4 linked regions of the Saccharomyces cerevisiae S288C genome follow. The gene in region 1 interacts genetically with each later gene. Each region holds a gene or a part of one and is shown in the gene's direction. Other genes may lie near its edges. The genes, in order: SEC22, HSL1, RGP1 and ERV14.

What was found.
Region 2: mutations in SEC22 (region 1) and HSL1 together harm fitness more than expected from each alone (negative genetic interaction), as found in Saccharomyces cerevisiae (5 studies listed by BioGRID).
Region 3: mutations in SEC22 (region 1) and RGP1 together harm fitness more than expected from each alone (negative genetic interaction), as found in Saccharomyces cerevisiae (4 studies listed by BioGRID).
Region 4: mutations in SEC22 (region 1) and ERV14 together harm fitness more than expected from each alone (negative genetic interaction), as found in Saccharomyces cerevisiae (4 studies listed by BioGRID).

The regions. Positions count from the first base shown.
Region 1 is NC_001144.5:676,719-683,351, forward strand, and holds SEC22 (SNAP receptor SEC22), read left to right. Parts: upstream 1-3,481; coding exon 3,482-4,126; downstream 4,127-6,633. Other genes in the region: PDR8 (Pdr8p), read right to left, coding at 1-1,006; BOP2 (Bop2p), read left to right, coding at 1,494-3,206; DCS1 (5'-(N(7)-methyl 5'-triphosphoguanosine)-(mRNA) diphosphatase), read left to right, coding at 4,468-5,520; CMG1 (Cmg1p), read left to right, coding at 6,019-6,633. UniProt on the Saccharomyces cerevisiae protein: Nonessential SNARE involved in targeting and fusion of ER-derived transport vesicles with the Golgi complex as well as Golgi-derived retrograde transport vesicles with the ER.
Region 2 is NC_001143.9:247,172-257,744, forward strand, and holds HSL1 (protein kinase HSL1), read left to right. Parts: upstream 1-1,748; coding exon 1,749-6,305; downstream 6,306-10,573. Other genes in the region: metalloaminopeptidase APE1, read right to left, coding at 1-511; YKL102C (uncharacterized protein), read right to left, coding at 891-1,196; YPF1 (aspartic endopeptidase), read right to left, coding at 6,526-8,289; rRNA-processing protein UTP11, read right to left, coding at 8,549-9,301; MTC2 (Mtc2p), read left to right, coding at 9,599-10,573.
Region 3 is NC_001136.10:724,551-732,704, forward strand, and holds RGP1 (Rgp1p), read left to right. Parts: upstream 1-3,708; coding exon 3,709-5,700; downstream 5,701-8,154. Other genes in the region: ATP-binding cassette glutathione S-conjugate transporter YCF1, read right to left, coding at 1-3,001; HPR1 (Hpr1p), read left to right, coding at 6,028-8,154. UniProt on the Saccharomyces cerevisiae protein: The RIC1-RGP1 complex acts as a guanine nucleotide exchange factor (GEF), which activates YPT6 by exchanging bound GDP for free GTP. It is thereby required for efficient fusion of endosome-derived vesicles with the Golgi.
Region 4 is NC_001139.9:400,239-405,162, reverse strand, and holds ERV14 (cornichon family protein), read left to right. Parts: upstream 1-3,875; coding exon 3,876-4,292; downstream 4,293-4,924. Other genes in the region: DUP240 family protein MST27, read right to left, coding at 772-1,476; pheromone-regulated DUP240 family protein PRM8, read right to left, coding at 1,861-2,574. UniProt on the Saccharomyces cerevisiae protein: Could regulate export of the bud site and axial growth sites selection protein AXL2 and possibly other secretory proteins from the endoplasmic reticulum in COPII-coated vesicles. Seems to be required for axial budding pattern in haploid cells.

The DNA.
Region 1 (6,633 bases):
CACTTTCGTTCAAATACCATTTATCAATATCATTTAAACCCAAACTTATGCACCCCTGGCATAGCTCGTTGATTAAGTCAACGCCTTGAGTCGCATCCCATACACCGTCCGTGCAATTTATCATTACACTAATATAGGACAATAAGAAAAATTGTAGTTTTTCCACGAAATTTGAGCTCGATGATGACAAGGACGCTGCACTTAAAGTGTGAAGGAAATGACTCACGGAAGAAGGGATATCTTGGTTATAATAGCCCAAGCAAAGAATTTGAAGTACAATGCCAAGATTATACTTATCTTTTGCATTACCTTGCAAATCGAGGAGGATGACTAGGTTCTTGTCCGTGGTATCTCTAATAAAAAGTCTGTCCAAGAGGGACAGAATATCGTCTTGGTTGAAGATATGCAATATGCCGAACAGCGGTCCAGCAAAAAAAGATTTAATACAGCTTTCCATTTGAGGAAAACTAGGCAAATCTGCTACAACATCATTTTCATTTAATTGCGATTTAGTGCATTCAGGAAGTGGTTTCAAGACTTTCCATAAATTTTGAAACTCAGTTTGAAACTTATTTTGTTCAAACAAAGATAAAGTTTTCCAGGAAGTGGGGCCAAACACATACCTCGAGCCATTATCACCTAAAACCGAAGTTCTCAGTGACCGTAATGGATTTTCTGAACTCCTGCAATACACCGGTTTCGCATTATTGTTATCGTTTTCCTTCAGTAGAGTCTGCAAATTCTCAATCTTCTGAACCAACGCTACATTGGGCACTTGCTCGAACAGTTCCGTATTAGACAAGGGATAGTTGAACTCTTCTGTGTAAACGCATTGCGGTAGTTTTCTAATTACACATTGCTGACACATAGGCCTGGCCTGACTGCATTTCAGTTTTCTTTTTCTACAAAATGCACATGACTTGATGACCTTCCTCCTCTTGCCCTTCTTACCACTTGAAACGGGCTCTCCGGTAGTAGATTTCATAGGAAAATGGGATCCATCCATCCCAACAAACTAAGTGCCGTTTGCCTCTTTCTTATTCGTCCCGTACCAACCACGTGTTTTCCACCTGTCATGGGCTTTTCAAGAGTTTGTCAACGCGGAAAGGCGCCGCATTGCACCTTGTCGTGATGTATTCTAAGTACAAGTAGTAAAGAAGTAATGACCCTGTTGTTATTGCTCCACTGCTGACCGCTGTTAATGCCTCTTCATGATTTCTGAGTCATTGTTGTACCCTCTGGCGAATAAGCCACTGTTGGTTTTGTGTGCATGTTGGAAAGGCGTTGCAACGGACTGTAACTCCACACACGAAAGAACCCTTAATTTTCAGCCGCTCGTTATTTTATTCAGTTGATCATTTCTTGTATAAATAGATTTAAGCAAATTTAAAGTTGATGATTCTATCTTCACAGCTAGAGCTCTACGTGAAATTTGTGCAATATATAGGCTGTGATTTCGAAAGTTATATATTCTCCGGGTAGAAGTGAAAAGGATGGTTGCCGCTTTAACGTATTTGCCTACTGAGCTTATCCAAAGGATATTTGAGTTCACTGTGGTGGAAACAGACTCTCAATATTGGTTGTACAATTTAGTGGCTCTAATTGATTTTTCTGTCTCTTCGAGAGGTGGTGGCTCTATAACGGAAGACTTCTTGACAAATTACGTTAGGAAGAATTTGATGGTTTTAGATCTGACCTGTGAGGCCACGCAAGACTCGATTTTACGAGCGGAGTACGGGTTTCTGAAGAGATTGTTGCCATACATTGACATGGACGCACAATATATCAGAGTTGTTGATTTGGAAACCAATGCTGACAAGGCCCAGAATTTAAAAGCAGAAAAACTTATTGTTATATTTGACGAATTCTCAGATTTGAAACTCATAGAAACCTTCTTCCCCTTGGCGAATTCCAATTCAAACATAATCGAGTTCGTATTCTGTGTTCGCAATATAAAGAGTTCGTTTTATTCACCTTTGGAAAAATTACATATTGCGAACATAGTCGCAGATATTGATATTAACACATTGTATCTGGACTTCGTGGATTCAAATATCTATTCGGATCAAAATTTCTTTGGGATTTTTGATCCCGATATTTTTCAGCTGATTAATAAAAACTATAGAAACTTCTTTTCTAAGACTAACGAAAAGGGGAAGAAAAGACCCCCCATTTGCAAGAAAATCTGTTTTCCCTTTGTTGAAACATTGAATTTGGATTATATGGCCCTTGATTCATTCTTTAATTCGATACTGCATAAACTAACAACAAAGATAAAAACATTTGAAAGGAACAATGAGTTTGACGTGGATAAAAATTTAAATTTAAACTCGACAACGACAGTAGCAGCTTTAATTATCAAGTCGATCTTGCAACAATTCTTCAACAATTTTCATATCAGCTTCCCTAATTTGGTTACCTTGAATTTTATTAAGATGTCTACCTACCCAAACAATAATGAGATTACCCAATGTTGTAACTTCATAGATTTATCTTCATATGTTCTAAACAAATGTTTAAGTGAGAATATCTCGATAAATTTCCTCTTTCAGTTGCACTCTTTGAAAAATTGGTCAATGCCCAAGATTAAAGAATTCACTGGGCACAAATTCAAGTATGACGAAACAACATTTTCAGGTTCACCAGAAAGGTACATCAAATCATTGAGGGGAAACATTAAAATTTTGCAAGAAATGGCAATTAACGAAACCAACGATGGTACTTGCTATTTCAGAGTCAAGTTGATACCTGAGGGGGTAGAAAAAACTCAAATAATCAACTGGATCCCCTTTACTTCTTCATTTAGCGATGATACCTTCAAACAAAGACACCATTTAAAGAGGCCAATGATTTGCTTGAAGAACAACTCTTTAAGATCGCTCACTGTCAAAATCATACGTATTGAAAAATGTTCATCCATCCGAATCCAGGGATTTTACCTACCAAATCTGCAGGAACTGTTCATCAACAATACCCTTTGCGACACCACCCAACACCAAAAACAAGCGTCAAATGATATGAGTTGTATAGAGTTCACTTCATGGAATGAACTACCACAATGCAAGAAATTGGGATTTGCTCAATTAGAGGACGACTCTAACTACGTTCTTAATATCAGTAACCTACAAGACCATTTACCAAATCTGGACCTGCGGGAGAGTTTCCCAACTTTCTTCGATATAAGACAGAAGTTTGTCGTGGTTTGAGGTCTAATTTTCAACCAAACGTGTTGTACTAGCATATATAATTAAATAAATTTCTCTAGTTATCACTTGATTTATCTAATAAGAGACGTCATAAACGAATTTTTTTTTAGCAATAAATCCTCAACGCTTTTTGTTTTCATTTTTCGGTCTTTTTCTACCATAGAAGATAAACAAGTAGAGCCCATGTAATATAATATATCTACAACCTATTATTACCCAAAACCAACAAAAACCCTGACAGTGACACCCCGTTACACACTCACAATTAAGTAGGGATGATAAAGTCAACACTAATCTACAGAGAAGATGGGCTGCCTCTTTGTACGTCTGTGGACAACGAAAATGATCCCTCATTATTTGAACAAAAGCAAAAGGTGAAAATCGTCGTTTCCAGATTGACACCACAGTCTGCCACGGAGGCTACTTTGGAAAGTGGCTCCTTTGAGATCCATTATTTGAAGAAATCCATGGTGTACTACTTCGTCATTTGCGAATCTGGATACCCAAGAAACTTAGCATTCTCATACCTTAACGATATAGCGCAAGAATTTGAACACTCATTTGCTAATGAGTACCCCAAGCCTACCGTAAGACCATACCAGTTTGTAAACTTTGATAACTTTCTACAGATGACAAAAAAGTCATACAGTGATAAGAAAGTTCAGGACAATTTGGACCAACTAAACCAAGAGCTTGTAGGTGTCAAGCAAATCATGTCCAAGAACATCGAAGACCTACTTTACAGGGGAGATTCTCTCGATAAAATGAGTGACATGAGTTCTTCTTTGAAAGAAACATCCAAAAGGTACAGAAAGTCCGCGCAAAAGATCAACTTCGATCTCTTGATCAGTCAATATGCTCCTATTGTCATTGTCGCTTTCTTTTTCGTCTTTCTCTTCTGGTGGATCTTCCTCAAATAGACGTCACCCCATCATCCCACATCACAAATCCCGATCAATTTGGTCCAAGTGTATAACATAGTCTAGTTCAGTATTAGTATAGTATGGCAATTTATTTGACATAATTACGTATTTTTCAGGCAAGCTGGCAGGTGACCCGCCGCACCTGCACTTTTTAGGGAGTCTTTTCAAGGATATCATCACTATATATCGAAGGAAAAGAGGCTTTCCAACTCTTTTGGATGATCGAATTGCCATCACTACTCTATTAACTGTCTGTGTATTAACTAAATAATCACATAGTATTAAGTTATAATTCCTGGAAAAAAAAAGAAAGCGAAACGACAAAATTAGCATATACCATGTCTCAACTGCCAACAGATTTTGCTTCATTGATCAAGAGATTCCAATTTGTTAGTGTCCTCGATTCCAACCCTCAAACCAAAGTTATGTCCTTATTGGGAACCATTGACAACAAGGATGCTATTATCACGGCTGAAAAGACGCACTTTCTATTTGACGAAACCGTGAGAAGACCCTCTCAAGATGGCCGCTCCACTCCAGTTTTATATAATTGTGAAAACGAATATTCTTGCATCAACGGAATTCAGGAATTAAAGGAGATTACTTCCAATGATATTTACTACTGGGGTTTGTCAGTGATAAAGCAGGATATGGAGTCGAACCCTACCGCCAAGTTGAATTTAATTTGGCCTGCTACTCCAATTCATATCAAGAAATATGAACAACAAAACTTTCATTTAGTCAGAGAGACTCCTGAGATGTACAAGAGAATTGTTCAGCCTTACATCGAAGAAATGTGTAATAACGGTAGACTTAAATGGGTAAACAACATTCTTTATGAAGGCGCTGAGTCAGAAAGGGTCGTTTATAAAGATTTTTCTGAGGAGAATAAGGACGACGGCTTCCTAATTTTACCTGATATGAAATGGGATGGCATGAACTTAGACTCTTTATATCTAGTTGCGATCGTCTACAGGACCGATATCAAGACAATAAGGGATTTAAGATATTCTGACAGACAGTGGTTAATCAACTTGAACAACAAGATTAGATCCATTGTTCCTGGTTGTTACAACTATGCTGTCCATCCGGATGAGTTGAGAATTTTGGTTCACTACCAACCTTCTTATTATCATTTCCACATTCACATCGTTAACATAAAGCATCCCGGTTTAGGTAATAGTATTGCCGCGGGCAAGGCCATCTTGTTGGAAGACATCATTGAAATGTTAAATTATCTAGGACCAGAAGGCTACATGAACAAGACAATCACCTACGCTATTGGTGAAAATCATGATTTGTGGAAAAGGGGTCTGGAAGAAGAACTCACTAAACAATTGGAAAGAGATGGTATCCCAAAAATACCCAAGATTGTGAACGGTTTTAAATAAAGGTTGTTAAAATTCTCACATCATCCACCTTTTTCCTACTCTCATTTTCTTTTTTTGAAAGTTGTTTGTTTTATATACCTTAGTTTCACAACAACATAAGGCATGCCTATTTGAGATTTTGTGATTAAAAAATAATAGAATACGTACTATATAACCGTCGGTTTAAAGTAAATAAATTAAAGACTAAGAATGAAACAATTAAAAACACTGTTCAATAACGTTGCTCTATCCTCCTGAGTCTTCCGGATCCTGTCTCCATTTTTTTGTGTGGTGACGAGTTGAGATAAAAAGATTTCCACTGCTGAGAATAATATCTATAATCGATAATGAAAGTTAGAACGATCACGTTGACTCTGAAATATAGTCAATAGAAAAAATTAGGTATCAATTCAATTGTAATATTTACTGGATTGAATTTAATTTAAGAATTACAGAATAAGAGGACGGACAATAAGAGGTACGCTACACATCTACCATCACTTTCAGGGAGGGCATAAAATGGAGGAGAGTAAGACAAAAAGAAAAGAGGATCGCATAGATTTGAAGAATACACCGCCTCAGAAGAAGTCAAAAAGAGATTCAACAAATGACGAAACTGCACGCACATCACTACGTTCAATCATGCCCAGGGGTTATAAAATGATGGAAAACATGGGTTACAAAGAAGGAGAAACATTAGGTAGTAATGAAAGTGCCCTAAAAGAGCCTATTAAGGTAGAAATCAATACAAAAAGGAGGGGAATTCGTGCAGAAAAGCCCGACCCATCAACAATGAATGACATGCAGATGAGTGAACAACGATTTATAAAAAGAGAAAGTGAAATGAAAAATAATAAGCGGTTAAAAAAAATTTGGTATAGGATCCAAAAAGTTGCTTTTGAAATGATGGGTGATTCCGATTTATACAATCCAGGCGAAGATCCGAGAGACTTTAACGTACTTTGGAGATCTTACGTTATGCAACTAAATGAGGAAGTAGCAAAAAATGACCTAAATAATCACAGTAACAATGATAATGAAGATAAGAATAATATGATACCAATGGTAAATGAAAGTTTGGAGGCTTCGCCTGCAATAAAAGGTGAAAAGTTTGGACGTCCTTCTACATTAATA
Region 2 (10,573 bases), on another chromosome or scaffold:
TGTCTAGCCACAATTCATTCAGTGTACCTCCATAGGGAGCAACAGCAATTCTTCCGTAACCTTCCGCTGTGTCTTTAAAGGAGACGGGCTTCAATTTGACCGTCAAAGCGTCCACATGAGATCCAATGACACCGACACCCTTTTCGGCTCTCCAGTTTTTGCCCAGGATAAAGGCAGATAGGTTAGTTCCATTTCTTATAGTGTAGAATTTCCCACCATCTTCGCCAATGGAGTCCTGCCAATTGGATTTCTCGCTCAAGTATTTGAAGTTATGCTTATCTAACAGCTCCGCGAAAAATGATACTACATGGTAAGTGGTAGGGTTCTTGTAAATGAAATCAATGAATTCCTGTGCAATATCCTCATAATTGTGCTCGAGGATGCACCACGAATTTTCATTTTCTTTCTTTTCCTTTTCTTCGTTGGCGATTTGGTTATTTTTAGATGGCTCTACAGTTAGCATCTGCAGAGTTTTCTTCAATTGTTCCAGTATTTCACGTTGTTCCTCCATTCTTTTTTTCTTAATTTTGTTGGTTGTGCAGGTTTCTACAATTGCACTAAGATTACTGATCAGGCTCTATACAGTGTATGTCTTGTTCTGTGAAGTCAACTGCTTATAAATGAATTTTTATTATCTAATGGAACGATTAAGGGGTGTGTCAACTATTTCACTTAACCCTATTCTTTCTTACTGTCGTTTGCTTGCATAGCCTATCTTACAGTAATAGAGGTGCAAAACAGCATCACCCCTAGTTGTTTTTCCCGAAAAACCTATCCCAGATTATTTTTTTTTTGAATTAGACAAGAAATCATCCGAAGACCTATTATGCTTCTGATTAAACCTTGAGAAAAACGGAAGTTTGCAACCTATACCCTAAAGTAGAAGCTGACTAATTCATATTCCTCACGAAATGGTGCGACCTCTCTTTATCCATGAGAAAAGGAAGGAGTGGGTTCTTGTTTGATGCTTCTTTATCTGATACCAACAAGCGCAAGAGATAAGGGATTACAATGTTATCATGCCTCAGAAAGTAATAGGATGACATTTTCTTGCAAACGTTGACATTAAAAACATAAAGTACCTTACGGCGTTCGGAGCCTACAAGCCTGCCACAATTTGAGCCGCTGCACAAGAGAACACCGAATGAACAACTGGCTGCAGCTGTCGATGAAACCTCAGCGAATAAAGCACACATTTGTGCGTTTTACAATAACAGGGAAGGTGGAATGTGTTGCCTTCGTCCTTATTTTTCGCGTTGTGAAATATTTTTACTAATTTTTCTTTTCGCGTGGTCATTTTCGCGTTGGGTTGTTTGGGCTAAATAGTGAAAACTAATCTCCATCACGTACCGTACCGTCTTGTACCGGCTGGGAGCAGCATTATAGTGGCCACTCTTATTGGCGTTCTTAATATAAGCAAGTTACCTTTTGCTCGAAACCTGTTTCTTCTTAAAACTCCCTTTGGATCGTAAGTTCGCTAGTTATCCGACTGCAAGGACGTAAATTGGACAGCGAGAGGCCATTAAAACAGAGAGTTGAACTCAAATAGATCATCAAATAGGTTGGATATCCATCATACTACTTGCTACTAATCGCGAAAAGAGATAAATAATAAAATTACAAGAAAGACAAGGTAAAAAGAACGACATAGATTTGCGGGACAAAAAATACTGATAAATAAATCAACAACCAACTATATTCACTCCTTTATTATTTGTTATTAATATTTTTTATTTTTACCACACGACATGACTGGTCACGTTTCAAAAACGAGCCACGTACCCAAAGGTCGCCCGTCTTCATTGGCCAAGAAGGCAGCTAAAAGGGCCATGGCCAAAGTAAATTCGAATCCAAAAAGGGCGTCGGGGCATTTGGAGCGTGTTGTACAATCTGTGAACGACGCTACCAAAAGATTATCTCAGCCCGACTCTACCGTAAGTGTTGCTACAAAATCATCAAAGAGAAAATCCAGAGACACGGTGGGTCCTTGGAAACTTGGCAAAACATTGGGGAAGGGATCTTCTGGTAGGGTTCGCTTGGCTAAAAATATGGAAACAGGACAATTAGCTGCCATTAAAATTGTCCCCAAGAAGAAAGCCTTTGTTCATTGTTCTAATAATGGAACTGTTCCTAATTCTTACTCTTCTTCCATGGTCACTTCCAATGTATCTTCTCCATCAATAGCATCTAGAGAACATAGTAACCATTCTCAAACGAACCCATATGGCATAGAGAGAGAAATAGTAATCATGAAATTGATATCTCACACAAACGTTATGGCATTGTTTGAAGTTTGGGAGAACAAATCAGAGCTGTACCTAGTTTTGGAATATGTTGATGGTGGCGAATTATTCGATTATCTGGTCTCGAAGGGAAAGCTACCTGAAAGGGAGGCTATCCATTACTTCAAGCAGATAGTTGAAGGTGTTTCCTATTGTCATTCTTTTAATATATGCCATCGTGATCTGAAGCCTGAAAATTTATTATTAGATAAAAAGAATAGGAGAATCAAAATTGCTGATTTCGGCATGGCAGCATTAGAGCTTCCTAATAAACTTTTAAAAACTTCATGTGGCTCTCCACACTATGCGTCTCCTGAAATTGTTATGGGTAGACCATATCATGGCGGTCCTAGCGATGTCTGGTCCTGCGGTATCGTTTTATTTGCATTACTCACCGGTCATTTACCATTTAATGATGACAACATCAAAAAGCTGTTGTTGAAAGTTCAATCGGGCAAATATCAAATGCCCTCAAATTTATCTTCTGAGGCTCGTGATTTGATATCAAAAATATTGGTAATTGATCCAGAAAAAAGAATTACCACTCAAGAGATATTGAAGCATCCTCTGATCAAAAAATATGATGATCTCCCAGTTAATAAAGTGCTGAGGAAAATGAGAAAGGATAACATGGCGAGGGGAAAATCTAACTCGGATTTGCATTTGCTAAATAATGTCTCGCCCTCTATTGTAACTTTACATTCAAAAGGGGAAATTGATGAATCCATCTTGAGGAGTTTGCAAATTTTGTGGCATGGAGTTTCTCGTGAACTAATCACTGCCAAGTTGCTTCAAAAGCCAATGTCGGAGGAAAAACTATTCTACTCACTGTTATTACAATATAAACAACGTCACTCAATATCATTGTCCTCGTCAAGCGAAAACAAGAAATCAGCAACAGAAAGTAGCGTAAATGAACCTAGGATTGAATACGCATCCAAAACTGCCAATAATACAGGCCTAAGGAGCGAGAACAATGATGTGAAGACTTTACATTCTCTAGAAATTCATTCAGAAGATACTTCAACAGTGAATCAGAACAACGCAATTACAGGGGTTAATACAGAAATTAATGCCCCTGTATTGGCACAAAAATCGCAATTTAGTATCAATACGCTCAGTCAACCTGAAAGTGATAAGGCTGAAGCAGAAGCTGTAACATTACCACCCGCTATTCCCATATTCAATGCTTCTTCATCAAGGATTTTCCGTAACTCATACACCTCTATTTCATCACGTTCGAGAAGATCGCTACGCTTATCGAATTCCAGATTATCATTGTCCGCTTCAACTTCTAGAGAAACTGTGCATGATAATGAGATGCCTCTACCTCAACTGCCGAAGTCGCCTTCAAGATATTCATTGTCAAGAAGGGCAATCCACGCCTCCCCATCTACTAAATCAATACATAAATCACTTTCGAGGAAGAATATAGCTGCAACTGTTGCCGCTAGAAGAACACTACAAAACTCGGCTTCAAAGAGATCCTTATACTCATTACAGTCAATTTCAAAACGTTCCTTGAACCTGAATGATTTATTAGTCTTTGACGATCCTCTCCCTAGTAAGAAACCAGCATCCGAAAATGTGAATAAATCAGAACCCCATTCGTTGGAATCAGACTCTGATTTTGAGATCTTATGCGATCAGATCTTATTTGGAAACGCCTTAGATAGGATACTCGAAGAGGAAGAGGACAATGAAAAAGAACGCGACACCCAAAGACAGAGGCAAAACGATACAAAATCTTCGGCAGACACTTTTACGATCTCTGGGGTGTCTACAAATAAGGAAAATGAGGGCCCGGAGTATCCAACCAAAATTGAGAAAAATCAATTCAATATGTCATATAAACCATCTGAGAATATGTCAGGGCTCTCTTCATTTCCTATCTTTGAAAAAGAAAACACGTTAAGCTCAAGTTATTTGGAAGAACAGAAGCCAAAGAGAGCGGCCCTTTCAGATATCACGAACTCATTCAATAAAATGAATAAACAGGAAGGTATGAGGATAGAAAAAAAGATTCAAAGAGAACAACTTCAAAAAAAAAATGACCGCCCGTCACCACTCAAACCTATTCAGCACCAAGAACTTCGTGTAAATTCTTTGCCTAATGATCAAGGTAAACCGTCCTTATCTCTAGATCCCCGCCGTAACATCTCCCAGCCAGTGAATTCAAAAGTGGAATCACTATTGCAGGGACTGAAATTCAAAAAGGAGCCAGCCTCTCACTGGACCCATGAGAGAGGTTCCTTGTTCATGAGTGAACATGTGGAAGACGAAAAACCAGTCAAAGCCTCAGATGTTTCAATCGAAAGTTCATATGTACCTTTAACAACAGTAGCAACATCTTCGAGAGATCCCAGTGTTTTAGCAGAATCTAGTACAATTCAAAAACCAATGCTGTCTTTACCTTCTAGTTTTTTGAACACATCTATGACGTTCAAAAATCTTAGCCAGATACTCGCTGATGACGGTGATGATAAGCATCTAAGTGTGCCACAGAACCAATCTAGAAGTGTAGCCATGTCACACCCTTTGCGAAAACAATCTGCCAAAATATCTCTAACTCCACGGTCTAATTTGAACGCCAATTTATCCGTTAAACGTAATCAGGGCTCACCTGGCTCCTATTTGAGTAATGATCTGGATGGAATCTCTGATATGACATTTGCGATGGAAATACCAACAAACACCTTTACCGCTCAGGCGATTCAACTGATGAACAACGACACGGACAATAATAAAATCAATACTTCGCCCAAAGCATCTTCTTTTACAAAAGAAAAAGTAATCAAATCGGCAGCCTATATCTCGAAGGAAAAAGAACCAGATAATAGCGATACTAATTATATTCCAGATTATACTATACCAAACACATATGATGAAAAAGCCATTAATATTTTTGAAGATGCGCCCTCCGATGAGGGTTCATTAAATACATCTTCTTCAGAAAGCGATTCACGAGCAAGTGTGCATAGGAAAGCGGTATCTATTGACACTATGGCGACAACAAACGTTCTTACTCCCGCGACAAATGTTAGAGTAAGTCTTTATTGGAATAATAACAGTTCTGGTATACCCAGAGAGACTACTGAAGAGATACTTTCTAAACTTAGATTGTCACCAGAAAATCCTTCTAATACACATATGCAAAAGAGGTTTTCTTCCACGCGTGGTAGTCGTGATAGTAATGCATTAGGCATTTCTCAAAGTTTACAGTCAATGTTCAAAGATTTGGAGGAAGATCAAGATGGGCATACTTCTCAAGCTGATATTCTTGAATCAAGTATGAGCTATTCAAAGCGAAGACCATCTGAGGAAAGCGTTAATCCAAAACAACGAGTGACAATGCTTTTCGATGAGGAGGAGGAAGAATCTAAAAAAGTAGGTGGGGGAAAAATTAAAGAAGAGCATACCAAGCTAGACAATAAAATATCCGAGGAATCTTCTCAACTTGTGTTGCCGGTGGTTGAAAAAAAGGAAAATGCAAATAATACAGAAAATAACTACTCTAAAATACCAAAACCCTCAACGATTAAAGTTACGAAGGATACCGCTATGGAATCAAATACACAAACCCATACAAAAAAGCCAATTCTAAAAAGTGTCCAAAATGTTGAAGTTGAAGAAGCGCCTTCCAGTGATAAAAAGAATTGGTTCGTCAAACTATTTCAAAACTTTTCTTCTCATAATAATGCTACTAAGGCATCCAAGAATCATGTAACGAATATATCATTTGATGATGCGCATATGCTAACATTAAATGAATTCAACAAGAATAGTATCGACTATCAATTAAAGAACCTAGATCACAAATTTGGGAGAAAGGTGGTGGAATACGATTGTAAATTTGTAAAAGGCAACTTCAAATTCAAAATCAAGATTACTAGCACACCCAATGCATCTACGGTAATTACTGTAAAAAAAAGAAGCAAACATTCAAACACAAGTTCCAATAAAGCCTTTGAAAAGTTTAATGATGATGTGGAGAGAGTAATTCGAAATGCCGGACGTTCATAAATTCTATATAGATGTTATATAATTATACAACAATAATTTGAAAAATTTAACGTACGAGAACCGAATGGACAGGCGTGAGAAAACATAGTTTAAAAGAACATTAATAAATGGAGAGACATGAGACACGAAGGAAAGAAAGAGGGTTTTACAAACATTGTCCTAGATTAGAAGATAAATACAACCCTGGAGGGGTAAAAAGAGCTGTCGTTTCTTTTGGAGCTCAAGAAGATTCGTCATCCAAGAGATCTTCTTCAGAAAGCTCTTCCTCAGAGCTGTCACTGAGATCTTCCTCTTGCACGAATTCTTCATCATCGTCAAAATTTTCGTTTACATCATCACCAAGCAAGGCATACTTGTCGGCATCATTATAGTATTCTGATAGGATGAAGGTCGAATAAGTTATAGAGTTCTCCTTTTTTTCTATCGCTTTTTTTAAACTTTTATCCACTTCAATCGTATCATACTGAAAATTCCAAAACTGCTTAAAATCCTTGTTCCAGCAAGCTACCAAAATAGTACTAATCAACAAGGAAGGAACAATGTATAATAAAGCCGGTTGAGCAGTATTGAAAATGGACAAGGAGACCATGGCAGATACCAAAGAAGCAACGTAACTAACCATAGCAGTAATAAAATATTTTCCAACGTATGACCAGTTCAAAAAGTGGAATTCAGTGTCATCATGATCAAGGTGCCACTTCCAGATGTCATATTTGTAGCACATCGCAATAAACATACCAGGCAAGGCAATATCACCCAGACCAAGTATTGAAAAATTGAAGTTGTTTTGAGCTGTATTAAACTTGACTGGTAAGCTTAGTTTTACGGGAATATCAAGGTTAGTAGCTACTGTAACCATTACATCGGTACCAAAGACAAAGCAAATGTCGTAAAAAAATAGAGCAATTAGGATTAGGGCCCCTGATTTTAAATTCTTCAATTTTAATTGAGCAATGGACCAAATAGCCATATTCATACTGACAGCATTGGATATTAACCAATCATTGGGTGATAAATAGAAATATACGGTAGAAACGATGGACAGAACGAACGAAACAATTAATGCGCTATTCAAATACATGTTGCTGATCTGCCTCTTCGATTTAATATCCTTCGGTTCAACTAATTCTCTTCTGTAAAAATGCTTCATCCAATGATCTTTTTCAATCTCATCCAATGTTTTCTTGTGAACAACTGAGTTGGTCAATCCATCTTTGTAATTCAAATTGGTAACAAACCCGCCTATCTTGTTCAGGTCTTCGTTATCATCAGCTATTGTTACACGATACCTTGGTAAAACAACCAGGGGATTCCAAGAAGCTAAATGTGATAGGTTTCTGAAAAGTGAGTTGAGAAAGTAGGAGTAGACAAATGTGCCAGCTGGGATATTTAGCAGTGTTATATTAAAATTCAAAATTTTCACCACATATTTTAGCCAGTTTAGGTGTAGTTTCTTGATCACAAAATAGAGAGCGAGTAAAGTACAGCCACTAGTTAAGGGCAGTATAATCGCATGTTTTTCATCCATCATATCGAAAAACCTCTTGCTTTTCTTCTTTTTCTTTTTATCTTCGTCATTCTCGCGGTAGATAACATGACAGTCGTGGTCCACATCAAAATCTGTAGGATCAAACAATGAGTGTTCTCTCGTAGGAGGTAGAGCTGTAAATGGAATAGAAGAAATAGACGTAAATGAGCCAATAACGACCAAAGCACTTGCGATGAGAACTAAAGTGGCGTAGTTGAATACTAAAGAATGGCTTTCCACCAAGTGTGTAATCTTGTGAGCAACGCGATATGATATCTTATCAAAGGCAGTGGTTAATTTGTTATTGTGGTTTTCAACTATAGCATTGATCTGTTCAAAAACTTGTTCTAATTCCTTGTTCGACGCACTTTGGTTAGCGCTTGATGAATTGTTCCTAAAGGCACGAGATGACCACTCTGAAAGGTGGTCAACAAATGAATTCAAATACTTGTCCATCGTGTATGAGTTTGTTCCCCATTATAGATCTGTAGTATTGCTCAAAAAGGGAGCACTTTACAAATCTTGTCCTAAATACTCCCATTCGGAGAGGGGTTCTTTTTTTTCCGGTGCCTCAAAATCCTTTTTTTTTTGATGGCGCAAAAGACACTTAAGAAAAGTGAATACTTTTTATAAACGTAATCCTATAAAACATGAAAAGAAGGATTACGGAACGTCTGCCTGATTCACTTATATATACTATATAGATGGTAAAAATCTAACGTTTCCGTTGTTTCTTCCATTTAAATGAAATTTTTCCTGAAGAGTCTACGATTTTTTTCTTGGAACCCTTCTTCAACAATTCTCTTTGAGCATCCATTCTTTGTTGGACCTGTTTCAATTGAGTTTCCCTCTGTAAGTGCTGCTTGACTTGCTTGAACTTTTTCAATTTCTTTTTGTCTAATGATTCCTTTGGCATTATTGATGAAGCGTTCCTATTGTTTGAAATATCTTGGGCTAATTGGTCCTTAGTTAATCTATTTTCAGATCTATTCACCATCTCGGAGGTGGTATTGAAAAACTTCTCTGGGGTGAATTCGTTCATCTTCTCTCGGGAATCGACGAATATTGTATGATTCCCACTGCTTTTGAACATCAACTGTTTCGCTCCTTTCTCCAGCTTTTTCAGCTCTATTTGCCTCAGCGTCCTCACATAATTACTATCTTGCGTTTTGAGTAATTTAACTTGATCCATGGAAAGCGATTCGTCTTCTTCGTCACCGTGACGTGAGCTGATCAGCAGTCCTTTTGCATCTGTCTTCCTTGAATGCATAGCATGGTAGTATTCATCTGGATTTCTCTCTTTTGCTTTTTCTCTGAGGACTTTCAAAGTGGACTGCTTCCTGTGGAAGTCTTGAGCACGTTTCACATAGTCTTTATGCTTTTCTAAAAACCCATATCTGGAACGGCTAGTTAGCTGAGAACGTTCTCTATGCTGCTTTTTCTGAACATCATGTACAAGTTTAGCCATATCTTTTGTCTGTTGTTGGCTGTAACGAACTAGAAAACCCCACTAGTATTATTCGATGATATGCAACTTGCTCTTATTGTAGTTTCTTAGCATTGTTTTCTTTACTCTTTTTCTTCAAATCGCGATGAGCTCATCTAGCCATAAAAAAATTTCATCTTTTACGTGCATAACGACAAACCTTTAAGCCTTAGAGGACTTGGTGATGTGCTCCTTTATAACAACGATTACTTCCATTGAACAGCAACACCTGCAAAATCGGAGCTGCAAAATTATTGATTGGATGTGGCAAAAATAGGAATGGGCGATCATAATCTGCCGGATTTTCAGACATGTTTGAAGTTTTCTGTTACAGCTAAAAAGAGCTTTCTATGTATGTATAGAGACAGCGTCTCAAAGGAAAAATTAGCCTCTTCGATGCCAAGTACTTGTGATATACAACTGAAGAGGGCAATCAATGACGCTTATCCGGGCGGAGGAATAAAGGTCACGGTTCTGAACTCAACAACTGCAAGCTTGGACTCGTTAGCAACTACACATGTTAAGGAATTTGAGATTGTTATCATTCCAGACATAAATTCTCTTTTACAGCCAGACCAAGCGAAATTAGTAAAAATTATGAGAGATTGCACAGTGGCGATTGAGAAGGCACAGTCAACACGTATATTTATAGGAGTGGTTCATTGGAATAATCCCGTGCAGCCTTCAGGCGCCGCTAAGGATGGGGATGAAGCAGGTAAACCAGCTCCCAAAACTCGCATCTTCCTGCCCACGTCTTTCCGTATGGGCGCTTGGCTCAAACACAAATTCTGGTTTGCATGTGCACCCCCATATTTGGATTTTGAAAGTTCAACTGAGTCTAGCATTAATACAAGAGCCAATAATAGCATTGGTATGGCTGAGGAAGAGAAGCAGGAGCCAGAGAGCAAGAGGTCGATCATATTAAATGAAGAGGCAAATCTGAACGATGTATTTGTGGGGTCCACTGTAAGACGGTATATTCTCGATATCATGGTCCATTTGCGAACGCATAGATTGACGTATAACGCCAAAGCCGGCGGGGTATATACAAATTCATTGGACGACGTGGTGTTATTGTCTAGATTAATTGGTCTACATAGCGGCAAGATGTTTGTGTCACCTTCACATGTCAAAGAGGCGTCCAGGTGGTACTTCCCCATGCACTTGGAATTGGTTCAGCGTTCCTCCATGGATAGTTCCTTATTGTACGGTAGCGACCCCAACTTGGTGGACGAAATGCTAGAGAAACTTGCG
Region 3 (8,154 bases), on another chromosome or scaffold:
CAATACCAAGTGCAAAATAAATGGCCAAGTAACGCGCGGCATTTGGATTAGATCCATAGCGGCTATTAACTTCAGACCAATGTTTCAACCAAACGTTACCCATAACAGAGAGGAACATCGATATAACAATAAACAATATGAATACACAAACGCTTTTCGGGTTGCAAGCTTTAGCGTACTCTAGGTAAATGTTCCACTTTACTTTTCCCTGTTCACGATGCTCTCTTTTAGCAATATTTTCATCGTCACCAAAATCGATGCTTCCCAAAGTTGCATCACTGGCCCTCCTTAAACTTATGGCGTCAGAGTTGCCAAAATCCAAATCATTTAATTTCTGCAGTTGTTCCAGCTCTCCTTCTACAGGTATACTACTTTCTCGAACTGAGCTTTCAGAGGAGTCACCGAATTCATTCGACTTACCGTTATTTTTTTTACCATAGTTGTTGAGCAATTTCCATAATGGCGAATCAGCGTCCTTCGTAATCTCATCATATGTACCCTGCTGTGTGATTTCTCCATTATCTAATAATGCAATAGAATCTGCGATGGATAACGCGCTCACCTTATTAGTGGCTAATACCTTCGTTTTTGTATGTAATAAACCATTTGGACCCAACACATGTTCGATCAAGTGCCTGGCAACGTGTTCATCAACAGCTGCCAAAGGATCATCAAGTAAATAAGTGTCAGCTCTCGCATAAACTGCTCTTGCTAAAGACAAACGAGCTTTTTGTCCTCCAGATAAGGAGATCCCTTTCTCGCCAACTAATGTCTTATCTCCATCCATCAAAATTGCAAGATCAATAGTTAACGCACAGGCCTTGATCGTTTTTTCGTAAAATTCCGCGTCGTATCTATGCCCAAATAAAATGTTTTCCTTTACAGTACCATTCATTATCCATGGAACTTGTGAAACATAAGCAACAGAACCATGAACGGTGGCGAAACCTTTAACCCTGAATAGATCACCTAACATGCATGACAATAGAGCTGTTTTACCACTGCCAACTTTACCAACAATACAGGTCAAATTTCCTTTTTTAGCTTGGAAATTAATATTCTTTAAGGCTACTTTGTATTCCGGTTTCCGTTGCCATAAAAAGGTAGCATCATCTCCAATGTTAATGGCTACATCGCCAATATTTTTTACTTTTGGTAAACGCTGAACCGAATCTGGTTGTAGCTCTTCATTGGTAAAGAATGTAAATAATCTACCAATAGAAACAGAAGCTTCGATAAAAGAATTTAAAACCATAGGAATAATCATTAGTGGGAATGAGAGCAGGTTGAACAGAGTCAAAGCAGGGAAAACTAAGTCAGTAGTCAATGCTCTATCCTCAGTATAAACAAATACAGCAAAGGTACAACATGAAACAAGGAATGGTACTATATTGAACTGAAAACTTGTCACAGCCATATAACATCCTAGTTTTGTAAGATTTTTTAACTCTTTGTTATTTCTTACTTCTTCTAGCTTTTCCCTATAAGGCTTCTCCCATGCATATAACTTCAAAGATTTAATATTGTTTAGTATTTCACTTATAACACGGGTCCTTTCATCTTTGTACTTCATCTGGGATTTTTGCAACTTCTTTTGTATCCTCATCAAAAATGAGTTCAATGGCATCATAATAACTAGTATAATCACGCCAACCCACATGGAATTTCCCAACAACTTATACAGAGAATATAAGCAAATAATGATTTGAAAAGGCCCTGACCATATTAAATTTAGCCATTGTGTTAAATCTTGTAATTTTTGAACATCCACACTCATGAGATTGACAATGTCACCGGTAGAGGAAAGTCCAGAAGCCTCATTAGATAGCACTAAGGATTTTTGATATATTAAAGCCGTTAGGGCGCTCTTAATATACATGCCTGTGTTGAAGACATTCAGGAAATATTGATGCAGGACAGATGTCTGAGTAAAGCCCACCAGAAACATAGCAAACGCAATCAAAAACCCTCTTACAATGGGTAATTTTTGTGGGTGGTTATTTTCAAACCCTTGAAGAGAAGAATGGTCATCCTGTCTCTCACTGTTATAGTCTGTGACGAACTTGATTAAAATCCTTAGTAGTTGTGGTTGAGTAAATGCTAGAACATCATGAATTGCTTTAAAGAATGCGGCTAAAAGCATTTTAGATCCAAAAGTTCTGCATATAGCCCATGATAATGAAGGATTTGATTTTTGCTTCAACTCATTTTCCCAGTTTTTCTCCAATTTTTGAGAGAGTTCTTCACTACTAAAGTTCCTCGGTAATTTATATAAATCTGCTTCCACTAAGTATTTTTCATAGCCAGTTTTCATCAAACCTGACATCCAAGAGAAGGTAATCCTGGAAAATATGTTTGCGCTATCGTATGGATTTGGTTTTCTTCTTGTTAAAGTTTGATGTATGTGTTGATGTGGCATTAGCGGCTTCTTTGGAAGAGCTTCAAGTAACAGGATACTGGCACATGTTATTACTTGGAATAACGTTAGTATGAAACCCGTTTGTCCGGAATACCAAATGCCTTCGTAGGTGTGTCTAATTAGAATATTTATTAGTTTAGCAAAATTACCGAATGTTTCAAAAAGCCAATAGAATAAAAGTACCGTATTGGCTACAACTGATCTATCGTATTCTATCCAGTGTAAGGCTAAAGCAACAAATAAAGATAACATTGTAGAAGCATATTGACTTACAATGGTAAAGTTTTCCGCTTCTTCTTTAGAAATATTTAAAGACGCAAGTGAAACAAACGCTATCTCCAACAGAACTAGTGCCATCCTAGAGACAATAATCCAATTCCGCCTATATTTGATGCCAGAGTGTTTTTTCTTGCAAAGGTTAACTAAATCTCTGATACCGAAGGTTATCATGAAAATTGCTGATAGATTTAGGATCACACCGTCGATGAAGCATTGAGTAAAGTCACCGTAAAAGGATATAGGTCCAAACCCTTCAGGAGATCTACAGAGCTTGCAGGCCCATGAAACAAGATTACCAGCCATTTTCTTGTTCTTTACGGTAGTACGATACCCCTAATTTATTCTCAAACTGTTAATTGAAAAATTGTAGGTTGTAAACCAGCTTCCACATAGCAGATGATCACAAGAGGTTATCGCACCTTTTATAGCAGCTGCTAACTTTTTTCATCAATTTCGTAATTACTAAGCCGTAACCTTCCACCGCCCAAGCATCACACCAGGAGTTACATATTTTTGTATTATCATAAAGAAACACACGCCAAGATATCTACAGAAACCAGATGTTAGCATTAGATATATATATTCGTATTGATGCAGCATAACAAGCGTACTATGGATTGCAAAGTAATGTAGATTCCTGACCAGTAGATCTGCTCGCGCAAGAGAAACATTCATGAACTCTAACGACAATAACAGTAAATCCACCTCACGGAGAACGATAAAAGTCTTCATTTCTCCATGAGGTGGAAACGTTGTTTGAATATTAAACATAATACTTGAACTTCTTGTGTAATTTTTATTTTTTAATCGAAGTCTACTCCGAAGTCTCCTATAAAGCGTAAGGCGCGTCTCCAAAGTGCTATTTTTCAAGATCAATTCAGCTTCAAAGAAGCTTTGATACCTACGGGGCAATGCAAAGGCTGCCAGTCGAAACAAACAGCGAAAGCTAGCCCATAATTTCTTGAGCTGTTGATTTTGATTGTGATATTTTTCATACTTTAGAAGAAGATATGCGTGCGCACAGAATCGATACATTTCTCATAAGAGAAAACATCAAACTGGAGATCATACATGAATCGAATTCCTATTTTGGTGGAGAACATATATCAATTGCTTTCCGATTTAAGCACCTAGGCTCACAGCATGAATTGTTCAACTATAAAGAAAAGCTTCTCACTGTCGATAAAGCTGTTGAAGAGAAGTTGGAACAACAAGCGAAAGTGCAAGATGATGGTGAAGGCACGATGGAAAATCAAACCTGGTCCCTAAAATCATTACTAGGTGCCTTCAAAAGAACAGGCGAACCTGAAGAGAGTGTGGATGTGGATAACATGAAAATGCTAAATGAGAGTAAGATGTTAAGAGAAAAAATACAGAAGCAAATGTATTTTCATCAACCTGTAACGTTAATATCCGGTTATGTTCAAATATCGGGGGTCTTTCAATACGATTCAGAGGTAATTTCAGAGTCAAAATTTAAACAAGATGAAGTAAAAATGGTAGGACTAGATATTGTACCTGGACATACGACAAATTCTGTTCTTGCATTGGAAGATGGAGAACATTTCAAAGGTAAAAGAAATTTAACCAACTACCTCAACTCAGATTATACAAATGTGACCAATGGTCTTCTTTTCTCAGAAAGCGGTTCTAGGGGAAGAACAGGTACCTATAACGAACGGACCTTAATGATATCAAACGATACCAGTATAAAAACATTACCTCTTCTTTTAATACCACAGACGCTTTTATTTTCTGAAATTTCTTTAGAACCAGGTGAAGTAAGAACATTCTATTTTAAATCCACAAAGCTGCCAAAAGATATATGCCCAAGTTATTCATCGTCAAAAGTGGCATCAATAAATTACACGCTGGAGGTTGGTGCGGATGTACTTTCTGATGATAATATCGAGAAATTTTCAAATAGAGTCCCAATAACAATAGCACCATATATTAGTTCGAATGCCGAACAGTACACATCACGTCTGGATAAGCCTGCTATCATATTAAAGACAGGTAACATAAAGGAACTAAAGCCACGTTTGTTTACTCGAAAAGTTTCTACGGCTTCTGCTGTATCATTTGGTAGGAGAAAATCTTCTATAATTGACATTGATTCTCCATTAGAAGATAATGAATTTGTCAAGCGTGTCAAAAAAAACTTCATTGAACTGGTGGAATCTAACCAAAATGTGTCAAGAGATATAGACGAACTTATTGACTTGCAAATGGGGGTACAGTTCGGAAAGGATGAGGATTCTTCGGATCCTGAACCCAACGACTCACACTTTTCGAACGAAATGGTGACGTCTGCAGAGTCTAGCCTGAGAAGCGATGCTGTAACTAAGAGGAGAAAAAGTTATTCGGTACGCGATAACATTTCTAACCTCGAGCAAAAGATGTGGAACGATTGTTCTCTCGTTAAGTCAGATGAGAATTCTAATCTTCTACCTCAGCTAATTAATTTACAGAACGCATATCAAATTAACAGAAATAATGAGACTATGGCAAAAGTATCCTTATCAGCACCTTTTTATAAGACAACTGATGATATAAATTTAGTCATTGAATTAGATCCGATAACGACGCCTTTACTTAAAGTGACTTCGTTGACTGTATCCTTAGAATCGTTTGAAATTATAAATCCAAAATATAAGACTGAAGGAAAAGGAATAGGGAGCAAACCAAAAGGAAACTCGGTGTATGAGAAACATTTTATTTGTTTCGATGAGTGCAAGTCCGTATCGGTGAAATTACTTCCTCCAAGATCGCCTACAAACCAGATTACCGGACAATTCAAGACAGATGTTTTTCAACATAAGTGGATGATAGGACTAAAATTTGTAATAATTGCAAAGACAGAAAGTATCACTTTGGATCAATTTTATGAGGATAAAAAGGGCATCCTATTCCATTCAAAAGAGAATTTAGAAGGTGAAGAGTTTACATGTTACGTTCCCATTCCAATACTGTGTACATCCGAAGATTTCATGGGATGGTAAGCAATAAATGGGTGCAGTTTACTCGTATAATTGGTTTTGCATTTGAATCCAATCCAGTAAAGAGGATTTACTATACTCTCTTCATAAAGGGTATGTACAGATACATTTATAAGTTAGTTAACCGGCTTTATTGTCGTAATAGTCATCTCTTGATGTCATGGGTTGCTGTCCGTGCGATTTCAAGACTGCTCATTTCGCACGATGCATATTGCTTCTCTAATGACATTTTTCGTTAGAATGATCAGGTTTTTGCCATAGCTTGATCAGTAAATTAATAGATGATTTTAACAATTCAAGAGGCATTAAAACTTGGGCAAAGGAGTAATAATGTCTAATACCGAGGAATTGATCCAAAACTCAATAGGTTTTCTCCAGAAAACTTTTAAAGCACTCCCAGTTTCGTTTGACTCCATTCGACATGAACCACTTCCATCTTCAATGTTGCATGCAAGTGTTCTCAATTTTGAATGGGAACCGCTCGAAAAAAATATTTCGGCAATTCATGATAGAGATTCTTTGATTGACATTATACTTAAAAGATTCATTATAGATTCAATGACAAATGCTATTGAAGACGAAGAAGAAAATAATCTTGAAAAAGGGTTACTAAATTCGTGTATAGGTCTCGATTTTGTGTATAACTCAAGATTTAATAGATCTAATCCAGCTAGCTGGGGAAATACCTTTTTCGAGTTATTTTCCACCATCATTGATTTGCTAAACTCACCATCTACGTTTTTGAAGTTTTGGCCCTATGCTGAATCACGTATCGAATGGTTCAAAATGAATACATCTGTTGAGCCAGTATCATTGGGGGAGAGCAATTTGATTAGTTACAAACAGCCTTTATACGAAAAGCTGCGCCACTGGAACGATATTTTAGCTAAATTAGAGAATAATGACATCCTTAATACCGTCAAACATTATAATATGAAATACAAACTAGAGAACTTTTTATCCGAGCTACTACCTATAAATGAAGAATCGAACTTCAATAGATCCGCTTCTATTTCAGCTTTACAAGAATCTGATAACGAATGGAACAGATCAGCACGTGAACGAGAAAGCAACCGCAGTTCCGACGTTATATTTGCTGCAGATTATAACTTCGTGTTTTATCATCTAATTATTTGCCCGATCGAATTTGCTTTTAGCGATTTAGAATATAAAAATGATGTGGACAGATCATTAAGTCCCCTTCTTGATGCAATCTTGGAAATCGAAGAGAACTTTTACAGCAAAATCAAGATGAACAATAGGACTAGATATTCCTTAGAGGAAGCTCTGAACACTGAGTATTACGCGAATTACGATGTTATGACCCCTAAATTACCCGTGTATATGAAGCATTCAAACGCAATGAAAATGGACAGGAATGAATTTTGGGCGAATCTACAGAATATTAAAGAATCAGATGACTACACTCTTCGACCTACCATTATGGATATCTCTTTGAGCAATACGACCTGCCTTTATAAACAATTGACTCAAGAGGACGATGATTACTACCGCAAACAGTTCATTTTACAACTATGTTTCACAACAAATCTTATACGCAATTTAATTTCTTCTGATGAAACGAGGAATTTCTATAAAAGCTGCTATTTGAGGGAAAACCCGTTGAGCGATATTGATTTTGAGAACCTTGATGAAGTTAACAAAAAGCGTGGGCTCAATTTATGTTCATACATTTGCGACAATCGTGTTTTGAAATTTTATAAAATTAAAGACCCTGACTTTTATCGTGTTATCCGCAAATTAATGTCTTCTGACGAAAAGTTTACAACCGCCAAGATCGATGGCTTTAAAGAATTCCAAAACTTCAGAATATCTAAGGAGAAGATACCGCCACCCGCTTTTGACGAAACTTTTAAAAAGTTTACGTTCATCAAGATGGGGAATAAATTGATTAATAATGTTTGGAAAATACCTACTGGTCTAGATAAAATTGAGCAAGAAGTAAAGAAGCCTGAAGGTGTCTATGAAGCAGCCCAAGCGAAATGGGAATCAAAAATTTCTTCTGAAACTTCCGGTGGAGAAGCGAAAGATGAAATAATCAGACAATGGCAAACTTTACGGTTTCTAAGATCGCGATACTTGTTCGATTTTGATAAAGTTAACGAAAAGACTGGTGTTGATGGTTTGTTCGAGGAACCCAGAAAAGTGGAAGCGTTGGATGATAGTTTCAAAGAGAAACTTTTGTACAAAATCAATCAAGAGCACAGGAAAAAACTTCAGGATGCTAGGGAGTACAAGATTGGAAAGGAAAGAAAGAAGAGGGCACTGGAAGAAGAGGCTTCGTTTCCTGAAAGAGAGCAAAAAATTAAGTCGCAACGTATAAACAGCGCTTCTCAAACAGAAGGAGATGAGTTGAAGAGCGAACAGACGCAACCAAAGGGAGAAATATCAGAAGAGAATACCAAAATAAAAAGCTCGGAAGTTTCTTCGCAAGAT
Region 4 (4,924 bases), on another chromosome or scaffold:
TGATTTTTATTCCAACAATTATCAATCCTTGTATTTCAGCTTCCATTGAAAACGATGACTATTTCTCATCATTTGCCGTCATCTTCTAACACCGTATATGATTATATACTAGTAACGTAAACACTAGTTAGTAGATGATAGTTGATTTTTATTCCAACAGTTACGTAAACCGTTATCAAATAGATACGCTCAAATTCAATTCTGATTAATTTTCATTGGGGCTGATCGTTTCGCTGCAAGTTGTCATAGTATTATTTATTTATTAATACCTTAGATTTTCTTGACAATTAACCAATTTTTAATCATTAAACTTAATAATATTTAATGCTACTGTACTTTCTATTATTATTTATTATTAATTTATTTATTCGTTCATCTTGTATGTAATCGTCCTCCGTTCTTTTCCCTTTACCGCTGGCTTGCGCGCGATGATTTCCACTAAAAGCTTGCTTGGAAATCTCGATCACCGACATACGCCCTGAGAATGCTTATAGGAGCTATCGAGGCGAAAGAAGTGGGGGGAAAGTAATATCCCGAGAACGAAAACGCAAGGCTTATTGTCATGAAAATGCAAATGCACCGTTGACAAAACCAACCACACGATTATCACGACTACTACCATAATAGGTAGGCAATGAACACTTCGTTCAGCAAATGGGTCCAACACGAATCGACTTTTCGAGGCTTCTTCGGCCGTTTTCGGGCCAGTTAGTGCTGATTATATATCATACTCTAGTTTATGTTCGCTTTACGTATGGCAGTGTCTCTAAGCTATTCCGTCTTTTTAAGAAGCGCATCGATATTGGGATGCCGCCTTCGCCAGTAATTTTCCTGAGCTTGTCGTTCGATCTCCGCTGCCTTGAGCAAAAAGTTTCGATAATTCAGTCTGGAACTAGGAGAAGCTGACTCGATGGCATCTTCAGGCTTAGCGGTGACCGGAGAATTGCCAATTGACGTGGCTGTTTGCTTCTTGGGGGTTACTCCCTCAACAAGGCGTAGAAAATAACGGTAGCAATCCTCATCGCTGTAAAAGTAATACGGAGTATGCCATTGCCCATGATTAAACAAATATTGGTTCATGTTGTATGTGATGATCCTCCATTCTTTCCCTTCTACTGCCGGTTTACGTGTGATGACATCCACTAAAAGCTCGGTCCTAAAATTTCGACGACTGACTAGCTTTGGATTACCATCACCTAATATTATTAACAATACTACAAGAGAAAGATAAGCGTAGTATGCAGAATTGAAAACACAAGCTTCGTTGTCATTAAAAAATATAATTAATAAAACCAAAACCCCTATTACCAGGGACAAAATCATGACTGGTGTATAGCGAGCGATTTCATAGATCCAATAACTCAAGTACGAACGGAATATGTCCTTAGGAAGAGCCACATTTTTCTCAATTAAATGTGCACTAGGTTCGTTGAGTGTATCTAACTTGACGTCGGTACTTTCTAGAGGGGTCTGCATGACCAATATATACCTTGTATCGTCTATGACTATAGTATTCCTGATTGTCTCTGTGCCATTGCATACTGATCAAATGTTTTAATAACGCAGGACCCTTTTCACGATTGTTTTTCATCTCTAGAGGCATTTTCAATATTGCATTTTGCGAAGTGATGTATAATGAAAATGTGGTAATAAGGCAGTGAGCTACTTTGTCACAACAAAGTACGAGAACAGATGAGGTTCCGTGGTGTTTTTGGGGCAACTGCATTATTTGGAGCGCCGTATATATTTATATCCTATTACAAAAAATCATAAATGACACTAAATTTGACACCTACTAGTGTCGTCAATCGAGAAGTAGATCCTTTGTCAAGTTGTGTGCTAGTGTCTCCCGTCTTCTGTCTAAAAAAACTCATCGACACCAGGATACTCTTGTCGCCAATATTCCTTTTGAAATTGTTGTTCGATTTCGGCTGCCTTGGTGAGGAGCTTTATAAAGTTCGGTCCGGCACTAAAACTAGAAGACTCAGCGGCTTCGTTTGGTGTGCCAGCGGTTTCGTCATTTGATTGTGCGTCTTTAACATTGCTGGCTGACGATTCCTTTTGCTTCTTGAAAGTTCTTCCCTTAATAAGACTTAGAAAATAACGGTGGCAATCTTCATCACGGTAAAAGTAGTAGGGAGTGTTCCATAAATCGTTATCAAATAAATACTGGTTCATCTTGTATGTAATTGTCCTCCATTCTTTCCCCTTTACCGTAGGTTTCCGTGTGATAATTTCCATCAGTAGCTTACATTTGAAATCTTCATCACTGATCTGTGGTCCAAACCTGAGTATTAGAACTATCACTAAAATGCCAGAGAATATGAGGAGAAACCCTACAGAAACCCCAACGCAATTTTCGTTATCATGAAAAAGAATAATTATTGAGATTAAAACCCCAATTACTAGAGACAAAAGCATGACCGGTGTACAGTGAGCTGCTTCATATATCCAATAACTCAAGTACGAATGGAATATGTCCTTAGGAAGAGCCACATTTTCCTCGATTAAATATGCACCGGGTTCGTCGAGAGAATCCGACTTGGCGTTGGTATTTTCTGAAGGGGTTTGCATGTTGAATTGATATCTTGTCTTGTGTAAGGTTATTATATGGTTTTGGAGGTTGTTATGCTGATTCGAATTACGACTTGATCTTGATACTAATTGAGCTTTGACGAAATATTTTAGCAATTCAGAACCCCTTTCATATTCTTTTTCTTCTTTTCATTTTTAGAGGCGTTATTTCACTAATAGGTACAGCCTCCGAAATAATACGTAATTGAAGATATGATAATAACAGTACGAGCCTTTTACAGGGCCATTATGATCATGAGTGAGATCCAGAAAAGCACATTGCATGGCAGTCGGATGTTGAGAATTGGGGGAATTTTGAGATAATTGTTGGGATTCCATTGTTGATAAAGGCTATAATATTAGGTATACCTAATATACTAGAAGTTCTCCTCGAGGATATAGGAATCCTCAAAATGGAATCTATATTTCTACATACTAATATCACGATTATTCCTCATTCCGTTTTATATGTTTCATTATCCTATTACATTATCAATCCTTGCACTTCAGCTTCCTCTAACATCGATGACAGCTTCTCATAACTTATGTCATCATCTTAACACCGTATATGATAATATATTGATAATATAACTATTAGTTGATAGACGATAGTGGATTTTTATTCCAACAATCTCAACATTCACCCATTTCTCACATTTATCTCAAAATCCACCCATTTCTCAATAATATATATGGTAAGTAACCAGTTGTCAAAACAGTTTATCAGATTAATTCACGGAATGTTACTTATCTTATATATTATATAAAATATGAATCATACTAAGTGGTGGAAGCGCGGAATCTCGGATCTAAACTAATTGTTCAGGCATTTATACTTTTGGGTAGTTCAGCTAGGGAAGGCCGGGTTTTATCTCATGTTGTTCGTTTTGATATAAGGTTGTTTCATATGTGTTGTATGAACGTTTAGGATGACGTATTGTCATACTGACATATCTCATTTTGAGATACAACATTTTCAGTTAATTTGTTTCCGATATAGTGTAACGGCTATCACATCACGCTTTCACCGTGGAGACCGGGGTTCGACTCCCCGTATCGGAGTATTTTTTTGAAAGTTTTTTTTCACGTTAGTTCCGTGAAGAAAATTTTTTTTCTTCATTTCGGAGAAAAAACAAGGAAGGAGAAAGATTTAAGAGTGATAGCTAGATCATGTATTCCTTAATACGAAGGAGAGACCTGGATTTTTCTCATATTATTATGTCTCACTGCCTACTTAACAAAGACATTTACCTTTGAACTGCAATTAAAGTAAAGTAAAAAAATTAAGAATAAAAAGAAAAATGGGTGCTTGGTTATTTATCCTTGCTGTTGTTGTCAACTGTATCAATTTGTTTGGCCAAGTGCATTTCACAATACTATACGCTGATTTAGAAGCTGACTATATCAATCCAATTGAATTATGTTCTAAAGTTAACAAGTTAATTACCCCTGAAGCCGCCTTGCATGGTGCTTTGTCATTACTATTCTTACTGAACGGTTACTGGTTTGTATTTTTATTGAACTTACCAGTTCTAGCTTACAATCTAAACAAGATCTACAATAAAGTTCAACTTTTGGATGCTACCGAAATATTCAGAACTTTAGGCAAACATAAAAGGGAGAGTTTCCTAAAGTTAGGTTTCCACTTATTGATGTTCTTCTTCTACTTGTACAGAATGATCATGGCTTTGATTGCTGAAAGTGGTGATGACTTCTAATCCAACAAGACATTGAAATCCAAAGAAGACTGAAGGGCCAAGAATAATAGACATACTTAATGGCCGCCCATAGATTGGAGGAAAACTGAAGATAAAAAAGATAAATACACAGAATGTATTAATTCGTGCTTCCCTTTTTTCCTTTTTTGCTTTTTTTCTCAATTGTCGGTGGGAGTTATCAATTTTTTTCGTTATTACCAGCATCTATTAAAGTAAAATACCGGTGAATATCGGTAAATAATAGGTTACTGTATAAATGTACATATAAATATTTGTATAGTTAGTATGCCATACAAAATAAAAAAAAAAAAAAAAAAAAACTAAAAGGTTGAGAACTTAAGGGTGAGCATGACTGTGAAATTTTGAAGAGATGCAGTAAGCCATCCCATATCTATTGCTCCAGGGCCCAGAAAAAAAAAATAAAAAATAGAACTTAAGTTGAAACTTAGTGCAAAAGATATATAATGAAAAAAGATAACCAAATCTGAATCTAAATGAAAATGAAAATTTCTATACATAAATAACGAAGAATAAAATACTAAAATGAAAAAAATAAATAAAAAAGGTAAATCGTAATAAGAGAAAAAAAAAGGAAAAATGTCAAAACGTAATCATGAAAAAAAAAAATTCAA